Arabidopsis thaliana: one gene and its partner. The protein of the gene in region 2 binds, or shares a complex with, the protein of the main gene of each other region. Each region holds a gene or a part of one and is shown on either strand. Other genes may lie near its edges.

Region 1 (4,855 bases), on a different chromosome or scaffold from region 2:
TTATCGCTGCCGCTGAAGAAAGTACCGACGGAGTCAAAGAATTGTCCGATCTTAGCATCCATTGAAGGCGATTTTGAGCTTTGATTGATGAGGTTTTCGTTTCTGGTCTCTTTCTTAATTCTTAAGGAGAGTTTCTTAAGGAGAGAAGTTGGACTTGTTGCCCAAGCTCAGGGAAACAGACGATATTTATCCCTTGAATTTATCAACAAGACCCCTGTATTGTTAAGACTTACCCACATTGATCACCATATCTTCTGTTTTGTTATTAACAACCCTTTGGAATAAAAAACTTCTGTGACATGTGATGGTGTATTACTGATTTTTTCCAATAAATTTACAAGATTCATAACAACTAGATAAGAAAAGGAAAAAAACTGATTTAATCTTTCACGATTAGATGTTTAACGTGGAGTTTTAACTCAATCAAGCAGTTATTACTATTGATGGTTTGTAAAAGTAATTTCTATTTTTTAAGTTATTAAAAATATCTGAAGCAACAAATTTCATATTTTAGATCATAGTACTTTTTTGTTGTCGATTTTAATTTAGGTGATGTATTTTGTTTAATTGAATAACAGTTTAACGTTAAAATACATATATATTCATGTCCATAGAAAATACAAGACTTATAAAAGCATCAAAATAATCGGAGAGATTTGCTGAAAGTTTGCCACTTCTTCAAACTCTTTGGATCAATATCACACGCCTCTTCTTTTCTTCCCCTGCCCATTTTTTTGCTACAATATCTAATTGGTTTCATCAGATTTTTTAGTATCTTATTCAGTCCTAGTCGTCGTCGGGCTTGGCTAGCCGGAGCTGCTGTATGTATCGGGGAATCATCGACGACTGCACTGTACATCAAAGAGAAGCCTGACTCAGATAAACTTCGACCAAGCAAGGCATTGTTGAGGTGAGCCTCGAAAGATAACCGCTCAAACCGATCCATCAATGAGCTTTGATTGTCCTCGAACCTCTGAAGAAATGTTGGAGTCTCCATGGCCTGTTTTTGTGTATTGATAGCGTGTAGTGACTGCTCTTTGTACGGAAAACATAAATGGTAATGTTTTCAAGAACAAGCAAAGGATCTTTTTTTTTTCCTTAACTTTTTTTCTTGTGTTCAAAGCAACGGATCTTCTAGGATTAAAAACAAAACCTTAGAAACATACAAGTTATTTTTTCCTGAAAATAAGTACACAAGATGGTTTTTAATTGGTTTCTTCACCACACACATCGGAAGGCAACATGCGATTCCGTGAGTTCGCCTCTGTAATTCACCTTCACAACTTGCCCTTTCTCTAATCCGTAGTACCGGACGATAGCATCTTTCTTTGAAATCCGAGGAAGCTGTTAAATAAATTTTGGGATGAACGGTTCAAAAAGTGAGACTATTACTTTTATTTAGCTGCAAGAAATGGATAATGGACCTGTTTTTCCTCAATGCTGAACTTCTTGAGAAGTGTTGTCTTCTCTTCATCATTCAACACCTGATGTTGTGGCTTCAGTGAATGTTTGGTTATGTTGACTAGCAGATCCGTTATCTTAACAAGACAGCAAAAAGGAAACTAGATGTTACAGATTTGAAGTACTAACCAAGAAAAATTAGATTAGGAAAATATATAGGTGTACCAACCTGGAATATCTCGACCTTGAAAGAAAAAAGTTCAATGGCTTTCAAGGCTTGATTGGTTACATGGTTTTGCAGAACCAATATCAGCCCAGTTATGGTTTCTTGGCTAAGTATATCCGCTACTACACTGCGGATTGCGTTGACTTTAACCATACTAGTACCAAAAAAGACAATTTTTACCTGAACAAGCAAAATCACAACACTTCTTGAAGCAGACCCTTTAAACCAATAACACAATGTTACTATATCCAGAGAATCACTATGAGATATCTGTCGTTATGCCATAAGACTAGAGCTGATGCAAGAAACATCATGAGTTGAAAATAGAAGACATTTATAAGTAACAAAAATCTTGTAGCAATCAATATATGAAATCGACTAGTTGAAAGCAGGTGACAAGCATGTCTATAAGCATACAAAAAGAGGTAACATGAACCAAACAACCAACAAGAAAAGGGGTAAGATTTTCAACAAATATCCAACTTAACCGTTCTTTTGCAGTTCAATCTCATTCTAGAATTAAACATGGAAACTTGTAGCTATCATCAGAACTCGCACATTTGACATTGACCATACTCTAAAGATTGAAGAGATCACTCAATGAATTGTCCGAATGTTCAATAGCCATAGGAAGAGATCTAAGAATCACTTTGCTAGTTGTTACCAGAAACATTTCACATTACAAAAATTCAGAGGACAAACAAATGAGGTATGCTACTTGATAAGGACAATAAAGTAGTAAACTTTAGTCATCTGAATCCACAAAAGTAGCAATTCAAACTTCAATTAGAAGATAAGAAATTTAAAAGAGTCACAAATTTCATATTCCATCATCTTCTTCACTGCCAAACAGTAAACCCCACAACATGCAAAGACAAAAAAACAGCTAGAAATCGAAAAATCACAACGAATACGAAAATACTTCGATATACCTTTTTGGTAGAATCGGAGCGATGCAGAGCGGAGATGCGAAGACGATCAACATCGGGACGTTCACCGTAAACAGTTCGAAAATCGTGAAGGGAGAGATTGATATCTTCGTCGGAGACTTCGTAGCCTCTGTCTCGGAGCATCTGCAAGCCATTTCGCCGCGCAAGATAGTATCTATGACTCTCTTCACTCGATAGATCCACGTATTTGCTCAGACACAGAACCGAAGCTGTCTCTTTCCCTTTCACTTCCATTTTTGTCTCCCTTATCTGAGCAAAAGTCGTCGAGTCCAGTGATGGGATTTAAAGGGAGACTAAACGTTGTCGTTTTAGGATTTAAGAACAGAAGGAAGAAAGCTAATATAGGTGAGCGAGCAGGTGACATCAATCAATCAAACTACATTTGTGGTAATGTTGCACATATTTTTCATTGATAAAAAATACCTTGCAAACAAAGCAAATCATTCGGCTATTATGCGAATTATCAATCATCATCTACCATTTGATGTACTTCATATAGTAAGAATCATTTAGTTCAAAAGGTCAAGAGCGTAAATGGAACAAAAGAACACAACTCATAAGAGTAAATAATAAAAGGCTTGAGCCAACTTACTTATTTGAATATACATTACTAACCAAATACCATGTTTAGTCAATCAATCTATATCCCCTTTCTCACACACATCTTTTGATCAAACTGATCACTTAGAGACAACACACACGACAACGCACCAATCCATTCTCATTGCATTTAGGACACCGCTTAAACCGTTCATCTTGTTCTTCAAACACTTTGGTGCTACCATCACAGTTAGTACAAGGCACAAACCTTGCATCACCACAGCTCCGGCATGTCCCCAAGCGTTCACAAGCAGGGAAATCTTTCAACATCTCTGCTAATTCACCACCATCATTTAGCTGCATAATCTCCTCCACGCCACCAATGTGAGTTCCTCTGATAAACACCTGAGGCAAACAAACCGGTTTCTCTGCGGCGCCAAGCACGCTTTGAAGCTCTTTCCTGTATTTGGAATCCATAGAGATGTCACGTTCGTCTACGGACACTTGAACTCCTCTCAATATCGCTCTAACGCAACAACAATCCTCGTATGTCTTTCGAATTCCTCTGAGGGTTGTGAAGTAGAGTACAATCTTGTCTTCTGTTCCTGGTAATCTCGGTTTGGCTGGTGATGAAATCAATTGACTAGAGGATACAGATTTTGGTTCTTCGCTTATTAAGATGGATGGATTTGATGATGGGCTACAAGAGAGAGACTTTGTGGGTCTATGAGGGTTTCTAGTATTACTATGATTGCTTAATAGCTTAGAAGACAAAGCTTTCTTGTAGGATGAGACAATGCTGGGATCTAAATCAGAGAGAAATGATTCTTCAGACAAATGCTTCCACAAAGGTTGCTTAGGTTTATAAGTCAAAGGAACCCAATCTCCATCGTCTTCTTCGATTCTCACAATCTCGTAAGATTCATCCAATTTCAACGAAGACCCATTTAAACTCACATTCCGATTCGGGTCGGGTTTAGAGCAAAAATCCGAATTTAGACGCTTACCCGGTTTGGGAATTTCGAATTCGAATTCATCGTCCAAGCCATCCATAAGCTCCCAAGTGTTTATGACTGAATCAGGAGAGACCGGATCTGGTGTGTTCTTCCCGGAGATTGAGATACGAGGCAGCGTTTGTTGGTCGGAAGAGGAGTTTTTGGATCCATCGAGATCAAGGAGGAGAAGAGAACCGTACGATGTAGATGTAAGGGAAACAAGGTGATGAGAGTCGCCTTTTCTCGCCGGAGGATGGTGAACCAACGGCGTCGGAAACGAAAAAGCTCTCTGCACCGCCGGTGAAGATGAATCGGAGCTGAATTTGGTCGGCGGTGGAGAAAACGCAGATGAGGAAGAAGCAGAAGAAACGGAAGAAGCGGTCTTTGAAGCAGAAGAACCCATTACGAAATCGAATTTAAAAACACTGACTTTAATGAATAATAGTTTTTAGTTTCTTTGCTCTTTCTGGTTTCTTCTGAGATTGTTTGGTTATCTCTGGGAATGATAGAGAACAGAGAGAGAAAAGAGAAAGGTGGAGAATAGCTGTCTAGGGCAGTTGAAGGTGGAAGATGGTGAAATTTAATGGCAGAAGAAAGAAACGATGTTGATGTTGATTTTCGGACACAACAACAGTTCTCGATTTGATTTTGATTGTGTAACCAAAGCTTATGTATAGAAGAAGAACCAAATTCCAAGAACTTTCCTTCACTGTCTATAAATTGAGCCAAACGTTTTTAAAATA
Region 2 (5,181 bases):
AGCTCCATAACCTCTGCCTTAGCACTAAGAGACTGAGGGTAGAACAAATGGACACAATCACCATCAAAATCAGCACTGAGGGGGCTACACATCAGAGGGTTAATCTTCACGGTGTTGTCTTCATGAACATACACCCGAAGCGCTTGAAGAGAATGTTTATGTGTTGTCGGGGGTCTGTTGATAAACACAACATCCCCATCCATGACCCTGCGATGAACAACCTGCCCGGGTTTAAGCTCAGTGTGCCCCTTGGATCCATCCCTTAAAGAATAGGTCGTAGAACCTTGAGTATAACTCAAACACAACTTGTCGTCTACCAACTTTTGTAGATAACCTCTATTGTGGACACTAACCCTTTCCTCAAATGTGATTCTCTGCGCAATTTCTATTGGGATCCCTACCTCATTCACATGTCGGTAAGCATCTCCAGTGATGACGCTACGGGAAGAGAAACCTGAACCCTTACGGATGAAAAGTGTTCTCATTTTTTCTGTCCAAGCTTTTGAAGATGAACTATCCGAGATCTTAGACACCCCGTATCTCATATCAATGTTTCTTGCCGCTTTTGCAGTACCCCTCACCTGGAGATAGGTATCCACCACTCTAAACATCTCACTGGCTTCAGCCTTATGCGACTCAAAGTTTGTCTCGCCAGACCTAGAGCTTTTTATGGCTATGACTTTCTTCAGAACGTCCTTTAGCTCAATTCTGGAAGGATCCTGAAAATAAGAATGACACAAATCCAGGGGTTACAACACAAGCCAAAGCATTCAACTCAACATAGTAATTTAGTTTCAACTTACCACTGACATGGTGCTGAAACCATCAGAAGCCTCTGGCACTGACAAACAGTTAGGCGGGACAGGAAGATACTCTAGTATGTATCCTTCTTGAGGAATATGTCCCTTTGCCGTGAGTTTCTTTCTTGATTCTTCGGGGATCCGTCTTAGAATTTCCTTAACCTATTTGTTTTCCCACCATATGGAAAAGGACACGGAAAGTACATAATCATCAGTTTCCAGAAAGAAAAGATCTTAAAGATAGAGAATGATTCCAAATGAACAAAAAGAACGTCACCATAAAATCCTACATAAACAGAAACATAAACACACAGAAGAAAGTAAAAACCTCTCTTGCCAGCAGGGGACGCGTGTAATCGCTTCCATAGCGATAACCATATCTTTCCAGGAAATTCCAGCAACCAGGCTGCAGTCTTGACCTAGATGGGAGCTTCAGTTCTAGATATGAGGCACCATCTGATGCTCTATCTTTGATTGAGATTTGCGAAGCTTCCTAATAAAGTAATATAGTAGTTAAAAATCCAAGACGTTCAGCAATAATAACATCCAAAATAACATAAAGCAGTGAATGTTTCATGATGCCACGAAAATACCAATAGCTACTGCTTCACAAGCATTGATTAATGTTACTTTCACTGAATGGATCAAAAGAAGCACAAATACTATTTAGATTTGAATTAGCAAGTTTTCTAACATGCAACTAGTTGAAGGAAAACTTAGAAAAACTAACTAAATGCTGAACCAGGTTCACATAAGAAACATCTATCAACTTGCTTTCAGGTAAAACTTAAAAGGAAACAATCAGAATGTATATGCCATTACTCACCTCACAACAGACACCCAACAAGCGATCCGCCAGACCACCACTTGTGCCCTGTACTCAGAAAGGTGAAAAAGATTAGTCGAGATTTTATATGGTTTATTTATGTGTGGATCACATGGAATTTAAGAAAACTCAATGAGGTAATACCTTTGCCTTCTTTATCTTCAGACATTTCAAGCACAGAAGGCTCAGCATTTGTTTCAACTCATTAACATGAGCAGGATGGTATATTGGCACTGGAAGCTGAATATAACCAAAATGACCTGAAAATGTAGAAACAAATACCGATATCTGAAGAAGTATTCCAACAAATGATGTAAGAACAAAAATATAGCAACTACGGAACTGGATTACCTTCACATTTATCTGGTTCTGTCGCACCGCAAGATTCACATTTACCAAATTCAAGAGGTAACCCCAAGAATGCGTTAGTGAGTTGACTGGGATGATTAATTGCGGATTCACTAATCGATTGAATACACTGCAAGAAAGAATTACAGTCCAGTGAGAAATGGAATAGTGACAGAGGATATATCGCAGAACAACATTTATATGCAAAAGTGTAGCACTTAGCATCACACAGAGCTTGAGTACAATTATAGTGAATTTAGTGCCAAAGATAACCAAAACATAGAGGTTTTAGCTATTCGAAATCCTTCAGTTATGTAAAACCCATGATAAACATTGATGCAGAACAAGATGGATCAATTCCAGAGAGTATAACTCTTATAACTTACTATTTCATGGTGACTAGCAAGAGCAAATGTGATTCCAACAATCTCTCCGTCAAGAATCTCTGATGTAGATTCTTCCTCCATGAAAAAACCCTAACGAGCGAAAATCACACACCAGCGAGACCGAGTTAGCTCTTATCAGATGTAAACAAACAGAGAAACAAAGACATTTGAGCTCACTAACTTGATACAAAGAAAAATCAAGTCTTTGAAGAACAAGTTCTCAAATCTGTAAAAGATACAATTTTTATACTCGTTTACACAAAATCGAAGCTGTAGTAACACACAGTGAACCAAAAAATCCGAACTTTCAAACCTAGAGTAACCTACATTTGAAACCCATTTCGGAGAAACCCCCCCCCCCCCAAAAAAAAACACGGCGGAGTCATGATCGAGCTCTTTTCCCGGAAAAACATCTAAAGATAAGAGTTGGGTAAGACGAAAATACCTAAGAATTCGATGATTCAGCTGCGTATTTGACCCGTTTTGGTTCCTCAACCGGAGAAGAAACGAAACAGCGGGAAACAAGGGTTTTTGCAGGTGAGAAGAGGGAAGAAATCTGAGTGAGAGTGAAAATGGCGGACTTTTTCTTAAAAGAGGAAACCGAGAAAGAAGATTGCGAGAGAACAATTTTGGAGTGACTCTACTTTTCTCTCTCAAAAATCTTTTGTTCTTCTTCACTCTTCAGCTTCCGTCTTTAAAACCCACATTGCATGCAAAGGGAGAAATATTTTCAGTTTCGTTATTAATTAACTAAAATAAAAAGGTATCAATTTTAATTTTTCTTTATTTGTCAAACAATTGATAACACTTGGGAATATGCAATGATGATGAAAATGATTAAAACAAATATTTATCCACATATTATGCAAGACCATGTCAACAACCATTGACAAACTTTTTTTTTTTTTGAGAAGAATAAAGGATTTCAAAACCATAGAATTAGCAGTGAAGCAAAACATATAAATACTTCAAGTAAACTATTTTTTGGATTCGATTTTGGTGTTGTATATTTGATCGATCGCCATAGATGACCGTTTCCGTTTGTAGTACGCTATGTTTGATGCGATAAAAATCTAGCGGGAACGATGTTTTATAAAATAATGGTTATACCAAAAAAACGGTAAGAACTAAGTGGATCGACTTGTAAAAAAAAATTTGAGATATTTTTTGTATTCATGAATTTGTAAATAGTTCATACCAAAAAAATGAATATGTAAACAGTTGACCAATCAATTAAAGACAAAAAAACAGCTCTTTTGTCTTCAAAAATTATATATAAAATGTTAAAGTATTTTTTCATTTTATTTTGTTATATATTTGATCGATCACCATAAATGAACTTTTCAATTATATATTGATGCGATATGAATATGAAAGGAACAATGTTTTCAAGAGATAAACTTCGTTTTTATCCGAAAGAACGGTAACCAATGCTCATATCAATTTATAATGAAAACATGGAGAAGGTTAACAATAACTCTTTTTCTTCATTTATATAATTTTGTTTACACATAAATGAAGAACATGAGTATAAATTTAGGAAAATATTTTGTAAATAAAAAGTAAAGGGTAACTCCAAAATGAAGTGACAGATGATATCATACCATATTCATCACTCCCTTTTAGAGTTGAGAATATAGTGGTATTAAAAGGATTTTTTCTAAATTAGTATTTAGAGTGAAATTTGGAATATAATTGGAGATGCACTTATTGGCTCATGGATTTAAAAAGGGAACAAAATTGCATCAATTTCTTTCTATTCAGGAGGAATTAAGTGGAAAAAAATTTCATTCCATTTATTGTAAAAGTTAGCAAAAGTTGTAACCAAACGAAATACAATATGCTTCCTCTCTCAAACTTTTCCGCTGATGTGTAAAATACAAGTCAAGCTATACTTGCATTTAAGTTTATATGTACAAAAAAAAGTTTATATGTACAAATCAAAAATCAAAAGAATATGAAGTACCGGTTGATATTGGTTCTTGCATTTAGAAGGTATAATTGCAATTAAACCGACTTTCAGATTTGGTCTAACTTTTAGACTGGCTATTCAATTTACTTTAGAGGGATTTGGTTTCCACTTTCGACATTGATCTTTGGATAAGTGGGTTCGGGTACTATTGTATGACTCATACAACTACTGATAAAGACTATCTGCTTTCTCTACTCCATCACAAATTATTAAAAACCAATATCTCAAGAGATGTTAAGATGGGTCGTTTTACCTTTTTTCACCACAATACTATAGCTTACTACTACTATTTGGCTTCCTAACATATATATCAATTTGCTACTTACAGGAGCTCCATAGCTCCTTTACTTGTCCCACCTCATCTCTTTCTTCCTCCTCTTCTGTCCACGTACTTCCCTGAGAAGCTCTTGAAGTTCTTCACAAAGAGGTTCTGGAGTAAGCTGAATGATCTCATCATCATCACCATCACTATCCTCCTCTGGCTCCGTCTCCTTCTCCTTTGGATCCTCTGGCTCGGTCTCCTTCTCCTCTGGATCCGTTTCCTCCTCAGGATCCGTCTCCTCCTCATCAATTAGCCATCCACAATGAAGATTCTCCACACCTAATCAATTATTTTGACCGCAGTAAAAGAATGTTTCATTTCTTATGTTGAGATTGGTATGGATATGAGTAAAAAAGCTTTTATTACCTCGAACAGAACTTTGTGCATAATCTGATGATGCTTCTCCCAAATGAATAGCTGCTGGTGATGGGTCATTGACTGCTTCGCTATTGATTGATAACTCATCAGCTTGGTCTCTTCCATACTCAATATGCATGTCCTGCTCCTGCTCCTGTATTACAAAAGAT

What was found.
Region 1: NRPD1B (region 2) and NRPE5 share a complex: the UniProt entries of both Arabidopsis thaliana proteins name them as parts of the RNA polymerase V complex.

The regions. Positions count from the first base shown.
Region 1 is NC_003074.8:21,123,834-21,128,688, reverse strand, and holds NRPE5 (Eukaryotic rpb5 RNA polymerase subunit family protein), read right to left. Parts: upstream 2,853-4,855; 5' UTR 2,812-2,852; coding exon 2,560-2,811; intron 1,808-2,559; coding exon 1,631-1,807; intron 1,539-1,630; coding exon 1,425-1,538; intron 1,345-1,424; coding exon 1,219-1,344; 3' UTR 614-1,218; downstream 1-613. Other genes in the region: BIGYIN (Tetratricopeptide repeat (TPR)-like superfamily protein), read right to left, coding at 1-62; AT3G57072 (uncharacterized protein), read left to right, coding at 2,853-2,990; AT3G57070 (Glutaredoxin family protein), read right to left, coding at 3,262-4,515. UniProt on the Arabidopsis thaliana protein: DNA-dependent RNA polymerase catalyzes the transcription of DNA into RNA using the four ribonucleoside triphosphates as substrates.
Region 2 is NC_003071.7:16,712,349-16,717,529, reverse strand, and holds the start of NRPD1B (nuclear RNA polymerase D1B), read right to left. Parts: upstream 3,071-5,181; 5' UTR 2,806-3,070; intron 2,451-2,805; 5' UTR 2,442-2,450; coding exon 2,361-2,441; intron 2,105-2,360; coding exon 1,978-2,104; intron 1,887-1,977; coding exon 1,771-1,886; intron 1,675-1,770; coding exon 1,627-1,674; intron 1,294-1,626; coding exon 1,129-1,293; intron 963-1,128; coding exon 804-962; intron 720-803; coding exon 1-719. Other genes in the region: AT2G40020 (Nucleolar histone methyltransferase-related protein), read right to left, coding at 4,677-4,933, 5,021-5,165. UniProt on the Arabidopsis thaliana protein: DNA-dependent RNA polymerase catalyzes the transcription of DNA into RNA using the four ribonucleoside triphosphates as substrates.